2 linked regions of the Alligator mississippiensis genome follow. The protein of the gene in region 1 purifies or fractionates together with the protein of each later gene. This does not show direct contact. Links are inferred from orthologs where the notes say so. Each region holds a gene or a part of one and is shown on either strand. Other genes may lie near its edges.

What was found.
Region 2: the proteins of ENG (region 1) and ACVRL1 purify together in Homo sapiens (affinity purification with western blotting; 3 studies listed by BioGRID and IntAct, with this or other methods). This does not show direct contact. The link is inferred for Alligator mississippiensis from reciprocal best matches to the Homo sapiens genes ENG and ACVRL1.

The regions. Positions count from the first base shown.
Region 1 is NC_081835.1:57,302,393-57,313,543, forward strand, and holds the start of ENG (endoglin), read left to right. Parts: upstream 1-5,952; 5' UTR 5,953-6,298; coding exon 6,299-6,356; intron 6,357-11,151. UniProt on the Homo sapiens protein: Vascular endothelium glycoprotein that plays an important role in the regulation of angiogenesis. Required for normal structure and integrity of adult vasculature. Regulates the migration of vascular endothelial cells.
Region 2 is NC_081838.1:6,392,689-6,403,469, reverse strand, and holds the start of ACVRL1 (serine/threonine-protein kinase receptor R3), read right to left. Parts: upstream 4,408-10,781; 5' UTR 3,888-4,407; intron 3,569-3,887; 5' UTR 3,421-3,568; intron 1-3,420. Other genes in the region: ANKRD33 (photoreceptor ankyrin repeat protein), read right to left, coding at 10,641-10,781. UniProt on the Homo sapiens protein: Type I receptor for TGF-beta family ligands BMP9/GDF2 and BMP10 and important regulator of normal blood vessel development. On ligand binding, forms a receptor complex consisting of two type II and two type I transmembrane serine/threonine kinases.

The sequences.
Region 1 (11,151 bases):
TGGGTCTATGCAAGGAGCTAGAACAGGGGTGGGCAAAATGCAGCCTGCCGGGCCATTCTACCTGGCCCACGGGGCCCTTAAAATTTAGAAAATTAATATTTATCTGCCCCTGGCTGCCTGTCATGCGGCCCTCAGTGGCTTGCCAAAACTCAGTAAGCAGCCCTCCGCCCGAAATAATTGCCCGCCTCTGAGCTAGAAGGAAGTCAGGTCTCAGCCACTTAAGTTTTCTGTAGTTTAGACAAAGTAAGAGACTGGGTTCAGCCCCCTTAAAGATACCAGCCTGGCTCAGTAGGTCATGTAGAAGCTCTTTAGGTTGATTGACATCACTTTGTGCCCCAGTGCTTTGGCAAGTGGTCACTTTGTGTATGATAGGACATTGCATGGCTGTGTACACTTATACAGGGGATCATCTTGTGTGTGTGTGTGCCCTGCCCTGCCCTGCCCTGCCCTGCCCTGCCCTGTGGGAGCCTTTCTTGTATCCCTTCTACTTTGCGCAATAGATATTTGGCGTCACACTCCAGGAACCCAAAGTTTAGTATAAGAACACAGTGTAATGCAGAGACATTAACACCACCTCTGGCCTCTACCTGACCCCTCTGATTAAATGATTGGGCTGCTCAAGATGTCATTAAAAGTCACATTTTTTTCCCTCAGGATTATGTGGCCTGACTTCCACATCAGCTGATCCCTTTCCACTGGAGCTTTTGCAGAGAAGTCAAGTAGGAGGCAGTTTCAGTTCAACTCATTGACATCCCCGTACCCACCAGCTTATTCCTTTTGTCTCAAGGAAATGCCTGTAGCCCAGTGTATTTAGCACACAGCAGTAAGGGCCAGAGGAACACAGCAAGTAGGAGAAACCCTCTGGCCCAAGGAGGTCATGGGTTGCATGGATCTGATTAAGGTAAATGGCAAAACTGATTATATCAAATACAAGAGTGGTGCCAAATGTATGCAGACCTGTTCTCCATCGCTGTCTGGGTACTAACAGTCCCTTAAATGTGACTGCAGCTTTCACTTTTTGGCCACCCTCTCAGGACACCTCATTAACATCCACTTCAGAAGGTTCCCAGGGGCAGGAGGAACGTGGCAAGTCAGTGGTAGAGCTGAGATGAGACCGCAGGATCTCATGACCTCACGGACTAGACCTATGCTTGCTCCTCCGGTCCTCTGTGCCTTTGGACTTGAGCAGTGTAGGTCATAGCTGTGTTGGTCTAAGGACATACCCAAAGAGACTTGTCTGCCTAAATCCAATATCTTTTACTAGACCGACTCAAATGGAAAATTCTTCTTAGCAAGATTTCAGGCATAAACACCCTTCGTCAGGCTGAGGAAGACTCTGAAATCTTGCTAAGAAGAATTTTTCAAACTATTTGAGTCGGTCTAATAAAAGATATCGGATTTATCCAAAGAATCTTATCTGCCTTTGGACTTGAGCAGCATCCATGGGCAGTGTGGCCCAGTTTGCTGTGTGACCCACTCCAGCAGGAGGCAGCACCAGCCTGCAGGCAGACCTACTGACCAGGGGCAAGCACTCCATCAGCTTCCCTTGTGCTGTAACTGGTGCTGAAGTAGGTGGCTCTGGAGCTGATTAGTTACATCAGCCAGTGAAAGGGGATAAGTGAAGAGATGAGAGGGAGCAGAGCTGGGTAGACTTACAGTTGCACAGAGTAGACACAAGTCTTGCACACTAGTGTCATCTGGAATAACTCCAATGAAGCTAGAATTCAATGGGAGTAAAATTAGAAGGAGAGGAGAATTAGTCCTTTCCTCCCCCTTCAAGGGCCAAGCCCATTTAAGCAGGGAGGAGTGGATGGCCCAGTGGTAATAGTGCTACCCTGGGTCTCGGGGCATCCTAGTTCAATTTCCTGCCCTGCTACAGACTTTGTGACCTTGAGCAAAGCAATTAAGTGCTCTCTGCCTCAGTATCCCCACCTGTGAAATGGGAGGGCAGTGCTATTAGTCCCTATGGTACTGCCCGTATACCAAGGGTGTGTGGAAAAAGGGAAGCCAGCTCCTTGCAAGAGTGACGGGTCAGGCTGACGACAAGGGAGGCGGTGATGTGCGGACACCTGACTGAGCAGCAGGGGTCCCAGACAACGCATTTCCACCAGTTTGTGTCCTGTGTCAGGGGCGCCCTGTGGCAATGCAGGAACCTCCTGTTATACAGGCACGCCAAGCTCAAGGAAACAGACTGCGTTAAAATGTTTCTGAGCGAACTTTAGTCCTACCGCCAGAAATTGGTGAGTGAGGATGGAGAAGATGCAGCCAACTTCATCTGGAAAAGCGACACCTGGCACTGGTTGTTCAAAGACCCCTCAGGAGGGAAAGTGGACAGAGAGAACGAAGGGGACAGAGATGCAGCTGGACCTGGAGACAGCAAGAAGGACTGCAACAGGATTAGCAGCAGCAGAAGTGACAGCGATAAGGACAGCGAATGAACTGAGAATAGCCCAAACCCCAATTTGGGGTTTCATAGGAGTGTGATTGGGGTAGGTGAGGGTGGAGGGTAGGTGTGCAGGGGAGTGGGTGTGTTTGTTGTAACGGGAAGTGCAGGCTTCTAAATGTGGTTTTAAGATGTGTGATGGAAAGTTTATAACGGAGGGTGGAGGGGTGTATATAACTCTCTCTCTCTCACATACATATATAATTTTAATTTCAAAAAAGAAAAAGGTGAGAGAGAGAAGAATCATGTGCTAATGTGGCCCAGGGCTGGGAGCTGGGGGATAGGCTGCCCCTGACTCTGAAGACACCTCTGCCAGGACATTAAGCCTGGTCCTGCCAGAGGCTCTGCACCTTCCGTGCTCCTCGCGGGGAGGAACTGTCGGCTGAAGGGGCCGCGGCTGAGCCTACACGTCTCGGGGAACAGCAAACAATGGCACCGGGACCTCCGCACGCTTCGTTCCATCCTGTTGTCCTCTCCCTACGCCAAGAGGCTAAGGCTCGTTCTTTCCTGCCATTGGGGCGACTGGCCAGGAAGAAATGTGTTACCACAAACATGCGGGTTGTCAGCAGGGCACTTCCCACCCACCTTGAAGACAGATCAATCCATCGATCTCTGCCTCTAGCCCCGGCCAGGCCAAAGATAACAGAGGGGGAAATGCAAAGGGCCAGCTGTATATACAGCTATTCCAGGAGGCAAGGCCTTTCAGGTCATGTTCCTCTTTGATCTCCTGGAGTCAATGGGAACCGACCAGTCAGGAATGCGTCTCGTCCAGCATGCGGCGTGGAGAGAGACACGCTCCAAGGCAGACGTGTAAGGCACCGGATGAAGGGCCAGACTGGATGCAGCCCAGGCGTCTGCTGGAGGAGGGCTCTGTAGGCGAGGCTTGGCCGAGAGCATGTGCTCTAGAGGGAGGATTTGACTGGAAGGGAAGGCGCCAGCAGTGGCATTCAAGCCCTGGAGGGTGCTGGTGGGGGGCCTGTGAGAAAGGGCAGGGGATCGGCCTTCCCCGCCTTCTCCCCTTGGAGCTGGACTCTTGCGCCTCTTTGCCCCCTAGCTCTTGCTGGGCGCCTTGCTGGCTGTATGAGCACTGTGTTGCTTGCCATCTGCCTGGCCAACCCTGTGGCTGTTGCTGTAGCTTTCTGGCCACCTCCTTCCAACCCAAAGCCTATGTGTGAGGCATTCACTTGGCTCTTGGCATCCTTGTGACACCTCCTCCTGCCCCACAGCTACCTAAACATCTTCTGCATCATTCAATGGCTGCTGCCATGCAGAAGCAGTGGGATAAACATTTGCTCCTGCCTTTGATCCCTGGTGCCACCTGTTCATTTGTTTGAAGTCATGGGAGACCTGGCCCCCAAGCCTGGGGTGGCACGTACTGCCCTGATGCGTGCCCGAGTGCAAGCAAGAAAGGGAACCAAGACAGTCCTCTGCATCCCCGTTTCCCACTGAGGTGGCAATGGAGCAGGAGTGGCTTTGGAGGCCTGCCTTCGACCCTTGTTCTTCCCAGTACTTGTTTCCCCCATCAGGGACCTGGGATGCCAGGGGGCTGTGGGGGAGCAGCTGAGAGGAGCCCTGCAGTCTGGGAGAGTGAGGGACCAGGTGCTTGAGAGCAGCAGGGAGCAAGAGCAGCCTGTAACTAGCTGAGAGGCAAATGGGTTGCTGATCTCAAAACAGCCCCTCTTCCATGGTGTCCTGGACACTGCTGTGGGCTCTTTCCAAACACCCACAGCCCTTCCACGTTGCCAGCATGCGGGTGCTGTCCCGTTATCTTGACGGCACTCTGGATTCAGGAGCCAAACCCTGGGGAGAAACCCAGATGGACCTGCCTTTTTCCGCAGGTCCATCTCTGATTCTGAAGGGTCTGTCTGAGCCCCAGGAGCCTGGTCTGCCTGGGCTGAAGTGCTGTGGCCATGGGAATGATCACCCGTTCCCCTCTGCCGCTGCGGCCCCTTGGCTCCCAGCTCCGTGCAGTCCCTGTTGTTCTGTCAACAGCAGGTCTTTAGCCCTGTCCTTGGATAGCAAGTAACCAGAGAATGAGGCCCCTGTGAAACGTTTGTCTCCTAACCTGGCTGCAAACTGGCTCCACACGTAAGGCTAGAAGGGACCCTCCTGAACCACATTGAGGCCCCTGTTGTGTCCAGTCGCAGCTCACAGCTAAGAGCCCATCCACGTCCGAGCCAGGGCCACAGGCTCCTTGCTCCAGTTGTAACTTTGGTGTGAACCAGCCCTTAGACTTCTGCACAGTGCCTGGATTAACAGCCACCTCCCACTACCTCTGACCTGCGGTGCTGCTGGGCGAAGGCCAGGGTGGAGTACGCTGGAAGTCTGTGCATGTTCCTGGTGGCAATGTAGGGAGGCCTGCAATAAAGGTCCACGTGATGCTGTCCCCGCTTTGTCTCCGCAGCACCATAGTCCCCAAGATCTCTCTGGGCTGACTGGGGCTGTTGAGCGGCTGCAGTGCTTCAGATTCTGTGTTGTCAGACCTATGAGTCCTGTTTGGTTGGGTTTTTTTCATTAAAATCAACATCCTCCCCTCTCTACATTAAAAACATAACAGTTTACCTCACTTCACCTGTCTGGGGTTGTGTGATCCCAGCATGTGCTCCTGCCAGCGGTGGGGGGTCAGACTAGATGATCCCTTCTGACCCCAAACTACCATGAAACTACATAACACATGTCCAAACTAGCATAGCATCTCCTCATTTACATGCCTTGACATCTACCGTTTCTTCCATCTATGTACTTCTTATCCTTTGGCAGTATGAGACCTGTGTTGTCAGACCTGTGTTGTTCAGGTCTTATGTCTCTGTTCGGCCTCCCACACATGCAGTTCCCACCTGGCTTCCCTCCGTGGTGCTGTGAGTGACACTTCTCCCCCCTCTGTCCCCTGCCATCCAAAGCACTGAAGACTGGCTACTGACTGTAAGTCTTGTATCCTTCCTCCCTCCAGATTCCCTGAAAGGAGGCTTCGGAGACAGTTCTACCCATTTTACAGAGAGGGAAATGGAGGCACAGAGGGGTGCAATGACTAGCCAAAGGTCCCCGAGATGCCAGCCAGGGACTCCCAGTGCTGTGCACCAACCGCTAAGGCACGTTCCTTCCTCAGGATGAGGCAGTGTCCACATACTTCCTGCAGCCCTTGAGGTGCATGCCCCAGTCCCAGCCCCAGCTCCATGCATAGTCTCCTACCCTGGGGCCCCTACAGATGATCTTTAGGATAGAGTGATGCCAGGGGATGATATGTGGCTCACTGGGCTGCAGAAAATCAAATGCAGGCCCGTGGGGGGGAACAGAGCCGCCTCCAGGAACCACCCATGGTCTAGGAGCCCCCTCCTGAGGAGAGGAGGGAGGACTGTGAGCACCCGGCATCCTGGCCGGCTCTCCTTCGGTCTCAGGACGCAGCCCCCACCCATTGCTGTCAGTGCATGACCTCCAGCAGAGGCTCGGAGCCTCTACAAACGGCATTTCCTCCCTCTTTTTGGCAGGCGAGCGTTTGGCAGACCCTCCTCTAAAGGGAGTTGATTTCCTGCCGCTTTGGGTCATCAGCACTGGGTTGAGTCAGTGCCGCACATTCAGGCGCTGTGAGTTCCCCTCCAGCACATCCTCTCGGCGGAGAAGCCGGGACACAACCAGCCACAACCTCCAGGTCCCTGCTTCCTTCTCTGCCACCGACAGCTCAGGAACTCCCCCAAGGCTGGAGTGGAGCAGATCCCCCTTCCTCCGCCTGCCTGCCCACAGTCCCATCGTGCAGTCGTGCAGCCCGTCGAGGCTCTCTGGGGCCAGGCCGCTGCCTCTGGACACGGGCTAAGAGGAGCCAGGACGCGACGCCGGAGCAGGAGGCAGCGTTCCCACGCCATGCAGACTCTCGTGTGCCTCACTGCGCTGCTGCTCTGCTGCTTGCGCGCCCACACAAGTGAGTTGCTCTTCCTTCCCCAGCTATTCCTGAGCTCAGCACGGGGTGGGGGGGGGGGGGGGGTGTTCATTTTGTCTCTTTCTGGCTTGTTTCTGCCTCTTCCTTCTCGCTGGCCTCCTCACCGCTCTCCTGAGCTCCCCGGGCCATTTTCGCAAGTCCTCACGAATTCAAGTCAAGCCAGGCGTTCCTCCTTCCCAGAGTCCTGCTCTGTCCCAGAAAGGCTGGGGCATCTGCCCCTGGTGGGAATCCCCCAGTTTGGTCTCCTCACCTTCTCTGTGGGGAAGCCAGTGATGCTGGGCTGGTGGTTCCCAGCTCCATCCAGCTTCTGAAGAAACAAGAGAGGTGGAAGCATGTCACAGCCCCAGCTCTGCTCTCTGCCAGCGAGGTTCGCTAGGCCTCCACCAGCTGCGCCGTGCCCCCCTGCTGCACTCCCAGGGCTGGGTCGAGGAGAGTCTGTGGCCGCTTGGGGCTGGGAGGTTGGTTGGTGCTGTGTAATGATTTGTTGCGAGGTCCTCAGGGCTGGGGGCAGTGTGCAGAGCTGCAGTGCGAGGCCGGTGGCTTTTTGTCATCAGAGTTGCATCTTGCAAAGAGCTAAGCACCTCCTGGAAAGTGCAAGGGGCTTCAGTGGGGACCACAGGCGCACTGCAGCTCCCAGAATCCAGCTCAGTGGGTCTTATCCAGGATCCATGGAAGTTGATGGACATACTCTCGATGGACTTTGGATCAGACCTATGGAAGCTGGAGGGAGCTGGATGTGGGGTGTTGGTGGCTTCCAGCAAACCTCCAGATAAACGGCTCTTAGGAAATACCCTGGGAGCAGACAGTGCAGAGCCAGTGGGAGCAGCTGCTAAGGGTTCATTTGGCCACAAGGTCACTCCTCCCAGGCTGGGATGCCCTGGGGTTACTGCTGGCTCCCGGAGAGCTGTGCAGCCATGCTGTCAGTGTTGCTTCACCACAGAACCTAGTGACCCGCGATGGGCACGGGCTGACTCAAGCCAGCCAAGGGTCTGGCTTTGCACAAAATGGCTTTTATTTTGATTACTCAGTAAAGTTGAGCCCCGGCTGTTGCAGGCAGAAGGCTGTGAGCTGGGGTTTTGCTGAGGAAACAGCTTCAAGTGGAGCCGGGAGTGGGGGAAGCCTGGATATGTCAGAAAGAAGTACGGACCACAGGTCATCCCCATTCCCCCTCTCTTTGGCTTTTAAAGCCCCAGAGCAGCAGCCGGGGAAGAGGGGGAAGGGGGGGAGAGAAGGGGAAACAAAGAAATCTCTCCCTCAAACTTAGCGGGCTTTGAAACCTGAGACTGTAAAGAAACAGGGAATTTGGCCAAATAGCCTCAATGAAGAGAAATCCTCTCACTGGGATCATCTAGTCTGGAAAAATAAGCTGCTTGGAGAACAGCCCAGCTGTGTTTCTTCACCCTTGTAAAAATCCTGTGAACATGCAGGCCAAAGAGTGAAGCAACATTGGGGCTGGTGCGGGGGAGAGTTTACTTGTCTCCAGCAACTACAGGCGAGCAAAAAATTGGAAGGAGCAAACATTTGAGTGCACAAAAAGAAATGTGCAGGCAAGGATCTCCCTGAGGGGAGGGTGTTAGTTCCCAAGAAGAATGAGAATTAAGTAGCAGAGATGGAGCCAAAATCTTGCTCTGGGGATGAACCATGGCTTTTGCCAAGGGACTGGCCTACATGGCCACATCCAGCCCACAGGGGTAGCGCTGCAGCGGGACGTGGTGGAAAGCTGGGATGGTCATCGCAGCAATCTGAGTCCACTCTGCAGTTTATAATGCTCTGAGATCGCGCTGCTTGGGTAGAGTTGAACAGATCAGCACAGCAGGCTTGGCAGGAGAAGCAGCTTCAGACCCAAGGTCAGGTTTCCAGGAGTGGTAGTGGCTGTGGAGATAACATAGTTACTGGGGGTGGTTTCTGAAATGCATGAGCCCCAGAGAGTGTGAAGGAAGGAAGAGCTTGACAGGCACTGCAACATCTTCAAGGGCATTATTTCTGCAGCTCGCTCAGCTCAAAGAAGAGCTCTGAAGACACGCAAATGTCTCTCTCAGCAGGGTCCGGGAGCAAGCAGTGGAATTTGAGTCAGGGTAGTGAGTTATTGCCAACGCCAAGAGATCGAAGATCAGGAGTCTGGTCCCAGACACCAGAGATTTTAAAACAGGGATTTCAAGTCAATTGAATCAATGTAAACTCTTTGTTTTTAATTTTCCTTTTGATTTCTGAGCCTTGGGGGTTGTGTTTGCAAGGTTTCAGAGGGTTACAGACTTGGTGCTTGAATGGAAAGCTGAGTTTCCTCTAATCACATGACTCCAGGAGCTGGGACTGTGAGAAAAATGCTGTCAAATATCAGAGGGGCTTGTGACAGAATCCTGGAAGTTGGTGAGCCCATAGTAAGGAGGGCTGGGAAAGCGGTTAGCTGGATCTGGGGATCACAGAGCAACCATTGGCTGTGAAAACAGCAGGGGCTGCAGGATCATTCCCAGAGCTCGTGCGATCTGTTGAGAGAGGGCTGCACTAGTCACCCGCGTGGCAGGGTTGAGTGGAAGGGATCTCTCCTGGAAGCCTCGCATGTGGTGGGCTAGCATACTTCAGGTGGGATTGGGGCACAGCTAGAGACTTGCACTGAGACACATCTGTCCCTGGTACAGCATCACTGACTTGCACCCACAAGGTCTTTATTCAAAGCCCCAAGTTTCCTCTGTGTCTCTGGTGGATCCCTAAGGATGGTCCTGTTCATTTCCACCATTGACTGTCTGCGTGATAGCCAAGGACACAGGCCAGGCCACACTTTGAAACCCCTGTGTCACTGGAAGGGAGTCTCCGCTGAAGAATTGGTCCAGCTGTATGCACTGGCTCAGTGGCCACTAGGTCAAAGTTACTACGGGGTTGGCCCCAGCCCAACAAGTGTATGTATGTGTGTTTCTCATTGTCCCGTGTCAAGCGTACACAGCGTGCGGTGCTGTCTGAGAGCCTGAACAGGCAGCCTGCTTGCACCTGTGTAATCTTCACTGGGTTTGTATACCTGTATTGATTATGGGGTCTAGAGGAGACATACAAGGTAGATATTCAAGTGTAGCTGTTCCCAGTATGCACCATTACAGTACCTCACTGCACCTGGGTAGGGAGCAGGCCATAGCCCGCTTGCACTGAGCAAATGGCTACCCTGGGATGGAAGATGTAAGTCACACCAGTATAGGCTGACTTCTCGTTCTTCCCCTGGTAATGCTATCCTGGACTTGGGGCAAGTTACACAGATGTAGGAGTATCTGTGGACTCCTTGTTCATACCAGTTCAAAAATGGCAACTATCCAAGGCCAGACACCAGTCCCTAGGTGCGAGAATCACCATGGCCCAGAGATGAGTAGATATTTCAAGCCTTGGAGACAGAGGGCAGCTCACAGGAAGGTGAGCCCAGCACTATGGCCTATGGCCTTTTGGCTAGAGGCAAGCAAGACTAGGGGCTATCTGAACTCCAGGGCCTCTGGGCTTGGAGTTTGCACATAGGATGCCCACCATGGATTTGGGAGCATCTGAAGTCCCAGGCTGACGAGTCTGAGAGGTAGGATACTTGCCAGTGGTAGTGCAACACAGACTTGAACAACTGCGCTCTGCTCAGTTGATAGAATTTGCAACTAATTTGGCCTAAGACACAAAATTATATATATAAGGGGGAAAGGGACCATTAGGGTATCTAGTCCCATCTGCTGTGAGAAGAAACTGTGTCAACTCAGCTGCTTTCAATTCCACTTATATATTTCTGTTAGCTAGAAAACAATTCCAGTAAATTGGCAGCAGTACGGTGCACGATGCTAATTAATGGCAGAGGGAAGACAAGACCAGTGGGTGTAATGCACATATAGGATTGCTCAAGGTGGGGGTGGGATTTAGGAAAGGGAGGTCTGGTTACAAGAGAAGGAAGCCAATATGGGCATGTCCGTACTGAGGAACTCCGGTTTCTTGTGCTTCTACCTCAAAGCACTTTATGGAGGCATAAACTGCGCCAAGCTCACTGAAATACAGACACCCCTGGGGGTGGGGGCAGCAGCTGTCAGCTCTGCGTATCAGTTCCAGACAGAGTGAAAAACCACCTTTGCCCACAGAAAGGGAGACCAGCTTGGGCACTCCCCAGCGTGCTCTGAGCACCCCCAGCCAGCTCTGATTAGCTGGGGATAGCCTGTGGGGCTGCAGATGGGGTGGGCCAGAGCAGAGTCTAGGCTGGGCCATGCAACCCTTTGCAGTTTTCTTTGAAGACCTCCGAATTCTTCCATACCAGGATTTCTCACATATTGTAAAGCACAGGGAAACAAGCGGCAGTGAAAAGGCAGGGAAAAAAGAAGAATTGAGGTAGATGTGTGTTGCGGGGGGGTAGAGATTTCCGTTTTGGTGCTGGATGCGGAATGGCAGTGGCTTTGGAGTATTTAAGGTACCATTAGGGTATCTAGTCCCATCTGCTGTGAGAAGAGACCACATCAGCTCAGCTGCTTTCAATTCCACTTTATATATAAGACCTCCTAAATCCCACCCCCACCTTGAGCAATCCTATATGTGCAACACACCCACCGGCCTTGTCTTCCTTCTGCCATTAATTAGCATCGTGCTCGGTGCTGCCGGCAATTTAGTGGCATTGTTTTCCAGCTAACAGAAAGGGTCTGATCATATGACTAGGTCCCTGGGCGCCAGGCTATGGCTGTATCTGTGCTTAGCAGTGACTTCTATTTTATACTGCCTGCGTAGTGAAATAAGGGATGTGCCCCAGGAAAGCCTCATGGCAGGGTTTATTTGTCATATA
Region 2 (10,781 bases), on another chromosome or scaffold:
GCACACACCACCCCGCGCCTCGCCACAATGCGCCCGTCCCGGGCAGAAGCCCCCGTGGCCCCAGGCCCAGGGCAGCCTCGCTGGGACCGTTCGTCCCCAAAATACCTCGCTTTGCTGTTGCCGACAGAGGGGAAAGACGGACTCAATGCCATGGGGATGCAGGGGGGAGAGCAGACTCTTCCGGGGGGGTCTGTGGCATTGGAGGAGGTGCCAGGGGGTCGGCAGGAAAGCATCCCTTTGGGGGGGTGAGCAAGGGGGTGGCGTGCCACTGCTCCCTAAGCGGAGGTGAGAGCACAGCTGGCTCGCTCAGCCCTGCCCCCAGCCCTTTGGGACCAGGAGCCCCTCTCTCCTCCTGTCCTTTCCTCCACTTCTTCCCCCTGTCCCGTTCCCCCCCTCACCCTCCTGGCAGCTCCCGGGATCTTTCGGCCCCCCAGCCTGGATGTTGTAACTGCTCGAGGGCCCCGAGGCCTGCCACGAGCAGCCCCGTGACCCCGTCGTTTCACAACCCGGCTGCGTCCTCTGGTTTGTATCAGCCGGAGACGCTGTCTGCAGCGGTCAGAGGCGGCCTGGGAAAAGCTGAGGATTCACTCTCTTCTGGGGCTCCAGAAATGGAGGCTTTCACTTCCCGTGCAGGAGGGATCCTCCTTTTGCATGGAGTCAGTGTCTCCGATACCCCACACCTTGCCACGGGCTCGCAGCCTCTTTCCCTGCTGGCTCCAGCGATGCCTCTAGCATCTCCTGTATTTCTAGGGGCAGATAAGCAGGCTGCCAATGATCTGCACTGCTCGCCCCAAACACCTAAGGGTCCTGAGCCAGGCTCCCAAATAGCATGAGACGGGTTTGAGAAGCATGTGCATTTAAAAGCAGATGGACGTTCTCTTCCTTCCGCCTTCTGCACTCTTGGCTCACGTCGTCCAGCTTTTCTCTGCAGTTGCAAGGGCTAGAAAGACCCCTGGAAGCAGGGGGAATGGAAACCACCTTCAGGAAGAGCCAGTTAAACCTCTTTTATGTGGTGATGGCAGGGAAGAAGAGAAGCCACCGCCCAAGGCACTGCTCTGCATGGGGAGGTCTGAGCGAGAGCACTCCCCGGGGGAATCGGAGGGATTTCCCTGTGAGTAACGGCAGGGACCATCTCCGGTGCGGATGCCACCCTGACCCCACAAAGGAGCAGGGGGACGGGGCTCCTTTGGGCACAGGGCCAGCTGGAAAAGCAGGCTGGGATGCTCCAGTGCAGGGACCTGCCCCACTGCTGCTCCGTCCTGCCCCGTCCGGTGCTGGGCAAACACACAGGACAGCACTAAAGCATATGTGACTCATGCCATCAGCTTCTCCTTCGCAGAAACTGCCCCGCCAAGCCTCACGCACTAACCGCCTGGGCCAAAAGGGGTGACATTTCCTTGTCTGGGACTCCTTGAACCTTGAATAAATAAATCAAGGGACCAGCTTCTCCGGTTCTCCCCAACTGTTCGAGCTCCTTTGAAGCCAAGGCAGCTCTACTGGTTTACAGGGCTGAGAATCTGGGTGAAGATAATCGGAGATAAGGTTTCCAGAGCAACCTTAATTCCATCTCTTCCACCCATGTGCCGCAGCTATTATTTATAGTGCAACAGTGTGCTAAGCATGTAGGTGTTATGTTAAGGTGCCCTGTATAATCACATAATAAGGCAGGGCAATGCAGCGCTCTCCATGGAAGATGCTTATATGAGGCGCACAGATGAACTGTGCTTCATTAGAGCTCCTTTTAAAACCAAGGTGCGCTCGGTGCTGGCCGAGGGCAGCTGTGCTCCAAGCCTGCAAGGAGACAGGGCCGGGGAGGCTGGCAGCCCTTTCGCTGCCTCTTCTTGACCTCCCGTCCCTGCTCGCTGTCTCCCCCAGACCTTGCCGCACCTTTGGGCAACCCAAACGTCACCTGTCTGCGAGGGGCTGTGCTGGGGACCGGTGTCCGAGGGAAGGCCCAGGGGACGGAAACCCCTTCTCCACCGCGCTCGCACTCCACTGCCCAGCCCTGACCCGCAGGGATCGTCTCACCCCCTGCCCTGGGCGGGAGAGGGATGTTCAGCTCCCCTCCTCCCCCTGCCACTCTCTGGGTCACAAGCCCAGCACTTCCTCTGCCATTTGCGGTTCTGGTTACTTCTGTGTTTTTGGAGCCAGGATGCAGCTCCCATGACCCAGTTCCCTATTATTTTTCCCTTGGAGTCAGTGGCCACGAAGCCCCCCCGCAAGCAATGCCGGCCGCGTGGGCGTGCATGGTGGCGCCCTGGGGTTGCTGCAGGGGGAAGAGACGACTGATCTGAGAAGGTTCCGCGCCGTGGCTCCAGGGTTGTTTCCAGGGGTGCTGAGTGGCCCCAGTCCTGCTCAGGCCCTCCACAATCAGATCCCAGGCTCTATGGACTCGATCAAAAATCCTCCCAGATCCCTAGGGGCTTTTCTGTGGACCACAGCGGGCTCTGGAGCTGCATTAGGGGATCCCGTGAAGCAGAGACATCATCTTCCTCTGGACGTTCCTGCCCTGCAGGGGTCCCGTCCAGGGCAAGCCGTGCTCCTGAGCAGGAGACAACTTAGTGCCTGGGGTCAGGGCCCGATCCGATCAGGCTGGACTTCTGTTCCTAACCTGAGTCTCCGACGGTGGCTTATTGCGCCCTGTGGGGACCTTCCTGGGAGGGCTGGGAGGGGACCAGCAGGGCAGAGCTGTGTGCTCCCAGGCTCTGTGTCCTCCTGCAAGACGGGCACGCTCAGAGAGGAGGGTGAACAGGTTTGCCGGCTAAAGAAGAAGGGGTCGAGCGGCCTCTTCCCACCCATTGCCTTGTTTTCAGTCTTTCTGGGAAATACTGATTTTCTCTGAGCCTGGACGAGAGCAGGGGAGACTTCTCCGAGCCGGCTCTTGGATGGGGCTCAGCACCCTGCAAGCTCTTTGCAAACAGAAGCAAATGGCTTCTCGAGAGCTGCCTCCATGGCATCTCCGAGCTCCTGCACTCACAGCCGCCTCTGCTCTGTGGCCAGAGGGCCAGGACCAAGCCATGTACCCCAGCCCGGGGGCCCCAGGACTGGGCAATGCCTCTGGATCCCATCCTGCCCCCCTCTGCCCCGTAGCAGGATCTGCAGCTGCCGCAAAGGCTTTTGTCCCGCGCTGACTCAGTCTGTGGAGTCACTCGGAAAGGCACAAGGAGCTTCAGGCTTTTCTGTCCCACACCAAGACTATGCCATACTATACCATGCCATGCTATGCCACGCCATGCCATGCTATGCCATATGAATTTCTATGTCCTTCATCATTTTCCTCTTTCAGTGACTTCACCCGGTCCCGGTCCATCATTCCCTACCTTTCTCCTGCAGCTTTTCACAACATCCCCACAACATTCGCTGCCCCCCCAGCCTGCCAGCAGCGTAGCTGATATCTAACGTTGTTAGATATGATCTCACCTCCTTAATGAGGGAGCGGGGTCCGAGTCTGAGCTGTGCTGCACCAGTGCAAACCCGGAGACGTCCCGCCGACTTTGCTGGAGCGAGGACCAGAGCCTGGCCCCAGCGGCCAGAAGCAATTCCAGCACTGCTGGCGGCTGCTCTGGAGCTGAGGACGGAGTTATGCACATATGTCACACATGAGCAAGCCCAGGGGATCTCCATGCGGTTCCTCCCTTGGGGTGGATGTGAGGGGCACCTCGGTAATGAAAGCCCTAGGGGATGCCATGAAACAGCACTGGGTAGCGTGCGACCCAGGGAGTGATGGAGGCTGTGGGGAGCAAATGCAGGCCCGGGCCTCACTGGTGGACACCAGGGAGCTTCAGGGATGCCAACCCTGATCTGGCCCGTCTGGATCTGAGTTTTCGCTCTGGGGCAGCAGCCTCGCACCCGCCTCAAAACCCAGTGTGCGGCGCATTCACACTCACCTGCAGGTGGTCTTCCCTCTCCTGGATGGCACTGTCTGGGGCAGGGGTGCTGCAGGGACCCCCAGCTCTGGGGGCTCTGCCCGCCTCTGCGGCCGATGGGGCTGGCGACTCTTCCCAAACGCGAGCCTCCGCCGGTAGCAGCGCCCGGGACATTCACTGGGCTCACCCCGGGCCGCTCTCCCCTGCGCTATGAGCTCCGACCTGAAGCAGCGTCATGGGGCAGCCCCCTTCCTCCTTGTCCCCTCCTGGCGTTGCAGACGGGAAGCGGGCAGGGCAGGGTAGCGGGCTGGCTTTGGTGTCCCGCCAGCCGCAGCTGGGGAGTGGGGTGGTGCGCCTGGACTGCCTTTCCCAGCCCCAGGGGGTCCGGCCTCCGTCCCCGTGTCCGAGCGCGGCTGCTTGGCAAGCTCTCTGAGCCCTGGATGTGGGAGAAGTCAAAAAATGTTTCTTATTACTGCCTCTTCCTGCCTGGCTTGTCTCCACCACTCCCAGCTAATAAAGCATTTCCTATTGCTGAGCACAGATCCCGTCCAGGCTGCCTTCCTCCCGCACACACCGGGCCCCAACTCCATCCTGACTATGCCCCGGCTTCCTGGGCCTCCCTCCCTGTCCTGCCATAGGCTTGGCATGGGATGGGCGGGTGGATTTCCCTTGCTTCATTTTCAGACCCAGACCAGCCACTTGGACAAAGGCAAGCACATCCAGTCTCTTGAAGGAGCAGATGGGGCGCAGGGGACTATGGCTTTGGCAGAGACAAACCGCCCTCCCCTCTTGCACCCGCGCTGGCTCCTGGGCTTGCAGCACTGAGGGGCCCCATGCTGCAGGGGATGATGCAGAGCCACGCTCCCAGGGCCCCGGGGTGCAATGGGATGTGCTGAGCTTCAGCAGTGGGGCAGAGGCTCTACAGTGCCCCGGCATGGCCTTGCTCCTGTGCCGTGGACTGCAAGGGTCCTACGTGGGTGCCAAGAGGGCTGGGTAGGTCCGTCACACTCCGTGCCCCTCGCCAGCCCCAGCACCACCTTTGCCAGAGTCCGGGTATTAAACCCAGTGTCCTCTCGGAGGAAGGAAGCACTCCCCGCCTCCCCCCAGATGTGCCGTGGGCTTTGTGGCGGAGCTGCGGCCTGGGAACCGCGGACAGGGGCTGCCTGGGCCCGGAGACGCCGCTTCCCCTTTCCATGTTTGAGTCACGATTGTGGGTCAATTGGTGTCTTCCCCATCTTGGCCTCCTGTTCCTCTTCCTTGCTCGCACTCGAGAGCCCCGGTCCTGGCTTCAGCCATCCCGGCTGTACCTCCCTGGCCCCTAGCCCCCAGCAGCAGGGTAAAGAGGGCGGCAACAGCAAAGTGGGCATCACGCTGTGCGGGGGAATGAGGTCACTAGGACGAGCCCCACGTGCGCACTAAGTCACGCTTCGAAGAGCAGCCCAAGCCTTGATGCTGCCTGGACCCTCCCCGCGCAGCGCGAGGTGCAACCATTTACCCTCAAGTCCTGGACCCCTCTCCTTGATGCATTACCCCTCAGCCATCCCTAGGGCTAGGAAGGGAAGCCAGCAGTCTGCCCCCACCATCATCTGCTGTAGCTACTACCCAGCCCTCCCAAACAGAGCAGGGAACAGAGCCCGGGAGTCTGGACTCTCCCACGGGCAAATGCCCCCTTCTCACCGGAGCCCTGGCACAGCACGGCCGGCCCCGCACTTCTCCTCTCTCTTGCGGATTGCTTCAGACTTAGACTTAAAAAGCGAACAACAGGAAGCACCACCAATGGCTCCATGCAAGCCTTGTCCGTGAAAGATGCTTGTATATTTTAGCAACCGGGAGATTTCCGGCCAACGGCAGGTTCAAGGGTGGGGCAGCAGGGGTAGGAATCTCATGGCTCTGTGGGATGGGAAACGGGCAGCTTCAATCTGATTAGGGAAGGACCGGCTGCCATGCCGCCAGGGGAGGAAGTCTGCGCCCGCCCTCGCAGACACGTTATCGCTCTCACCATCTCTGCTCCAGTCCCGACTGTCTGACACCGGGCCACCCTCCCACTGCCATTTCTGGACAGCTCACGTGTCACAGGAGCCCGTGCAAGGGACCGGGCATGTGGCCTTGGCTTAGGGCCGTGGCTTTCAACCTCGTTAGACTCGAGGCCCCGTCAGAAAACGCCAGGTCCGAGCTTCCGCTCCTGTTTAGGCTACAGACAAAGAACAAAACCACTCTTTTGCTGCAAAGACCTAGAAAGGCCCCAACAGGACTGAAGGGTTTGAGAGCTCAGGATTCCTCTGGGCACCCTTGAAAGGATCTCACAGCGCCCAGCAGGCTGTGAAGCCCGGTTGAGAATCACTGGCTTAGGGGCGCGGAGATGACCAAGAGCGTTCGCCCAGCTACAGCGGCAGGCTTGGGGCCAGCAGGCCCGAAGGGAGCGGGGTGGAAAGGCTGCGACTGCCCAAATGTTGCCTCGCAGCAGGCCAGTCTCTACCCAGAGCCAGCACCTCCTTCCTCCCCAGCCACATGCTGCAGCTGACCCTCCTCCCACACACGCGGCCAGAGCAGAGAGAGGATGTCGGCTCTTCTGTTCGTCCCGCTGCTCTATTTTTTAACAAGGACGGGCTGGGGGCGGGGATTTCCCTGTTCTTGATTGGAGGGCTAAGCAGAAAGAAGACTTTTCCCAAGGAGCCCCCAGGCTGGAGGAGTCGGCAGGCTTTTTTTTTTGGACATTTTTTTGTGCACCAGGTCAAACGAGTTCCAAATCCTTGGAATCAGCCAAAAGTCTTACATGGCCCGACCATCGGCAAGTATCCTCCACCAGGCTGCAGGCTTGCAGGGACTATGGCCAGCGGCAGGCAGTCAGGAGTGACTGCAGGCTGCCTGGGAGCCCTGGGCCAGCTGCAGAGGATGATTAGGTGGCCATAGGAGGGCTCCTAGGGAGAGGAGCTGGGGGTGGAGGCTGAAAGAAGGGGAGGGGGTTTGGTTAGCGAGGGCAGAACTGAGCCAAGGACTCTCCCAGGGTCTGGCAAAAGACCTGGAGGCAGCAGCACCACGAGGCCGGGAGAGGGAATTCGCCCAGGAGAGAGAAGGAAAACTGCGCGGCGGCACTGGGGGAGCAGCACGAAGCCAGCAGCTGGTTCTCGGGGTCAGGGCAGAGGCCTCGGGACTGTGAGTTGCCCTGTGTGGGCTGTGTTTTGAGGACTGGCGTACACTGATTTCTGTGCAGCAGGGTTGCCTGGGAATAAATGTGGGGTGAGAGAGTTAAGCAGACTGTCGAGCTAAGCATTGACCCCAAACCCGCTCCACCCCCCGTCTGGCGTGCAGTTCCCAATGGGAAGTCGGCACGTAGGGAGGGAGCCGGCAAGGTCCGGACTTCACAGAAAGGACAAAACTAGCCAGGGGGGCCAATGCACCCAGGGCATCTCCCAGACACCCCACTGTGACTCCTCATGACCTCCACTGGACCATGGGGACACCAAGTCGCAGAAGGGGGTTGCTTAGTTCACTGGCAGCAGAACAAGGCCTCGCTTTCAACCTGCTGCTTTCAATCCCTTGCGATTACGTTCAGGGGTGCAACCCGAGCCCCGGGGTTTGGCTCTTGGGGTCCCTGCTCAGACCTGTGAGCAGCCAGGCTGGGCCCAGCAGCAAAGTCCAGGTACCTCCACCCTGCCGAGGCTGACCTCAGGAGATGCCCACCACCGCTGTGGGGTGCAAAAACGCCATGGGGAAAGCACAGGGCATCTGCAGTAGCCTCCCTAGGACAGGGACATTGGTCTTCTTCCAGAAACAGCCCCTCCTGAGTGCTTAGCGGTGACTGCTGGAGAGACTGCGAGGCTTGAAAGAAGTCGGGGGCAGCTAGAATCGGGGCAAAACGGATCCCCCAGCCCCCAAGCAGCCTGTTCCCGCCGGCGCCTTGCTCCCCCGCCCCCACCGTTGGAACGCGCCTGGCACTGCATGTGCGGAGCGCCGGCTCCCCTGCTCCATGTGCTGCCCGCCCCCAGTTCAGATGTGTGCCGAGCCGGCGAGCTGGCACCAGCAGCAAGCCATGCGTGGAGGAAATGAGAAGCGATGGGCTGGCCGGGGGCATGCAGAAGCACCTTCCCCTGGGCACCCTGTGCCTTGCACAAAGCCCCGGACACCCCTGTGAATTGGCCACAGGCATCTTGGGTGGCCTGAGGGCCAGGGCAGCAGGAGGTGGTCCTCAGGCCACCAGGCTCCTGAATTCGGCCACCCCTCCCTGCAGCGCCAGACCAGGCTGAGTCCCCTACTGAGCGCCAGCCCCCCTCCCTGTGTCTGGATGCTGGCCTGGCCTCACTGGCTCCAAGCTGAGCCAGGCGCTGTGACCGGGGACCTGCAAAGTGTCCACGCAGGCAACAATGGGCCTGGGGGGCAGTGCCCCCCATGACAGGAGCCAGCAGTGACAGCAGTCAATGCCTGCCTCCAAAGCATGGGGGGCAAACTGTGGGTGGGCTCGGGGCACTGCCCCTCTTCTCCCATGTCTACCTCTCCTCCGGCCATGGAGATCAAAGGGCTCTGGGACTTCATTCCTTATTTGCTTGGCCGGGGGATGCAGCAGCCCGGCTTTCCTGGGCCGCAGGGCTTCCCTGCTGGCCGCAGCCCCGGTGTCACCTTGAGCAGAAGGAGCTTTGCAGCCTGTCTGCATCACCTGGAAAGGCCTCAAGTGGCTCCAGCTGCCGGGCCGACAGGTGTGTGGACAGCTCAAACATGTTGTGAACGCAGCCTGGCAGGTGAGGCAAGGCGTGTTGGAGCCGGCAGTGAGACGCCATCTCGGCACAGCCTGCAGCGCTGCCAGGGACTGTGCCAGCAGGCCTGCCAGGCTCCAGCACCCGGGGTGGGGAGCAGGGTGCTGGGTGGTTATGGCAGGGAGTCGAGGAGCCCGGGATGTTCCCAGAGCAACAGTGAGAGCATCGCATCCCGTGGGCACAGGGCATTGCACGTGGGGCACAGGGTCGGGACTCCTGGGTTGTGTTGTGCACGGAGCTGCCACGTGACTTGGCATGGCTGATGTGGCTGGGGCTGTCCCTGCTCCGTCTGTGCTGGTGGGGAGGGGAGGTCTGCAGTTCTGGGCAGTGAGTGTGACTGACCACAGGTTTCCCGGGGCAGGAACCGTCCCTCTTCTCCGCAGCGGGGGGCCGTGGGGTATCTGTCTAGGGCTCGCTGAATCTCCTCTGCTCTGCTGCCTCTGGCTTGGATGGTGGTGGCTGGTTCATTTGCATTGAGCTGTTGGGGGCTACTGCAGCTGGGGGGATCCTCTCCTCTCCACCTGTGGCCAGGCCTGCCCTCCCCATGCCCCTGGGCTGGCTGGGGTAACCCACATGGCATTCCTATCCTGTGGCTGCAGGGCACTGCTCATGGGGGACTGTGCCCAGACATGTCCCCTCCTCTTGCAGCCCCACAGCAGGAGCTGGCCCCATGTCTTGGCCCTGGCCCAAGGGGCACAGTGAGTGCCCTGCAAGCATGGCTTGCCCACCTCCTTGGGCTGTGGGGTCCAGGGACAGGAGTGGGTCTGGGTCATGGATGCGGAAGCAACCCAACCTGTCAGCTCCTGCGGGGCCAGGAACATGCACAGAATGGCCTGACGGGTCTCTGGAGCCAGGGAGGGAGAGGGGCATCCCACAGCTAGGAGGCCTTGAAGGAGAGGATGCATCTTCCTATAAGATGCACTTGAATCCAGCCTCAGGCTGGCCGGTTGTGGTGGCCCCTCGGGGCTCAGGAATCCCCGTCTCTCCTCTTCCTTCCCAAGCTCAGGGGACAGGATTTCCTGCAGTGGCGTCAGCCCACGTGCACGTGCAGGTGTGTGCTGCGACGCTGGCTGTAGTCCAAGCTCATGCTTCAGGGGTCAGGAAGAAATCCCCACCCCCCCGCCCCCCGATGCAGCAGTGACCACATGTGTTGCAGGAGCTGCATTTCGCTTCCCTCTGAAGCATCGGTCAGTGTCTGGGGAGGGTGGGCAGGGGCTGGGTGTCGGGGCTCCTGGGGGCACACTTCAGCTCTTGGGGGAGGGCGGGAGCGGTAGGATGGGGCAGTGGGAGTAGGAACGCTCGAGGGGGTGATGGAAGGGGAACGGCCCGCTGCAGCTTCAGGGCTGTGTCCACTCTCCCGTGGAGGACCAGCAGGACCTGGGGCCTGTCCCCAGTTGTGCCAGGGGCATCAACCGCAGCTGGGAAGTCACGTCCCCAAGGCACTGCGCTCTCCTGGGGGAGATGCCCGGAAAAAGGACAAAGCACTGTTAGCCGCCGCATCACCAGCCTTGAGGCTCAGGTCGTAATAAAGCTCTTAACACGGCAACCACTCCGCGTTTAATGGACCTGCCGCGCCCCACGACTGCGCTGCGAGGGCGAGATGCTGGTGACACGGGACAGAGACGGAGGTCACCCCATGGGATGGGTCCGTTTCCTTCACCTCCTGCAGCCCAAGGGAGCCCTGCAGAGGCCTGAGGCCAGGATGCAGCAGGCTGGGCACTGAAGTGCCCAAGGCCCATAGACCCCTCCGTGCCATCGTGGCCAGTCCACTCTCTGGGCACCAGATATGCCACCCCAGATATGCCTGGGGTGGCAGGACATGTAGGGGCCGGGCACTGTGCTGCTGAGCCTTCAGCAGCCTTTCGGGGCAGGGGGTCTAATGTCGAAGCAGGGAAAGCAAAGTGCTAGGGTTGGGCAGGAGCCCTGTATCCTTGCCCAACCCTAGCCATGCTCCCAGTGCATCCATGGGGTGGCCAGAATGGACACATCTTAGGCCTTTGTCCAGGGCTCCCCGTGTCCCCATCCCTCAGCTTCCCTCCTCTAACTCCTTGGCTGCTCTCCTCTTTTCCCGCAGCTCCTTGTACCTCCATTTGGGCAGCCGCAGCGTGTTCCTGTCCTGCGACTCCTCCGGCTGCTCCTCCGCGGAGGCTGGCGGGGCGGGTGGCTT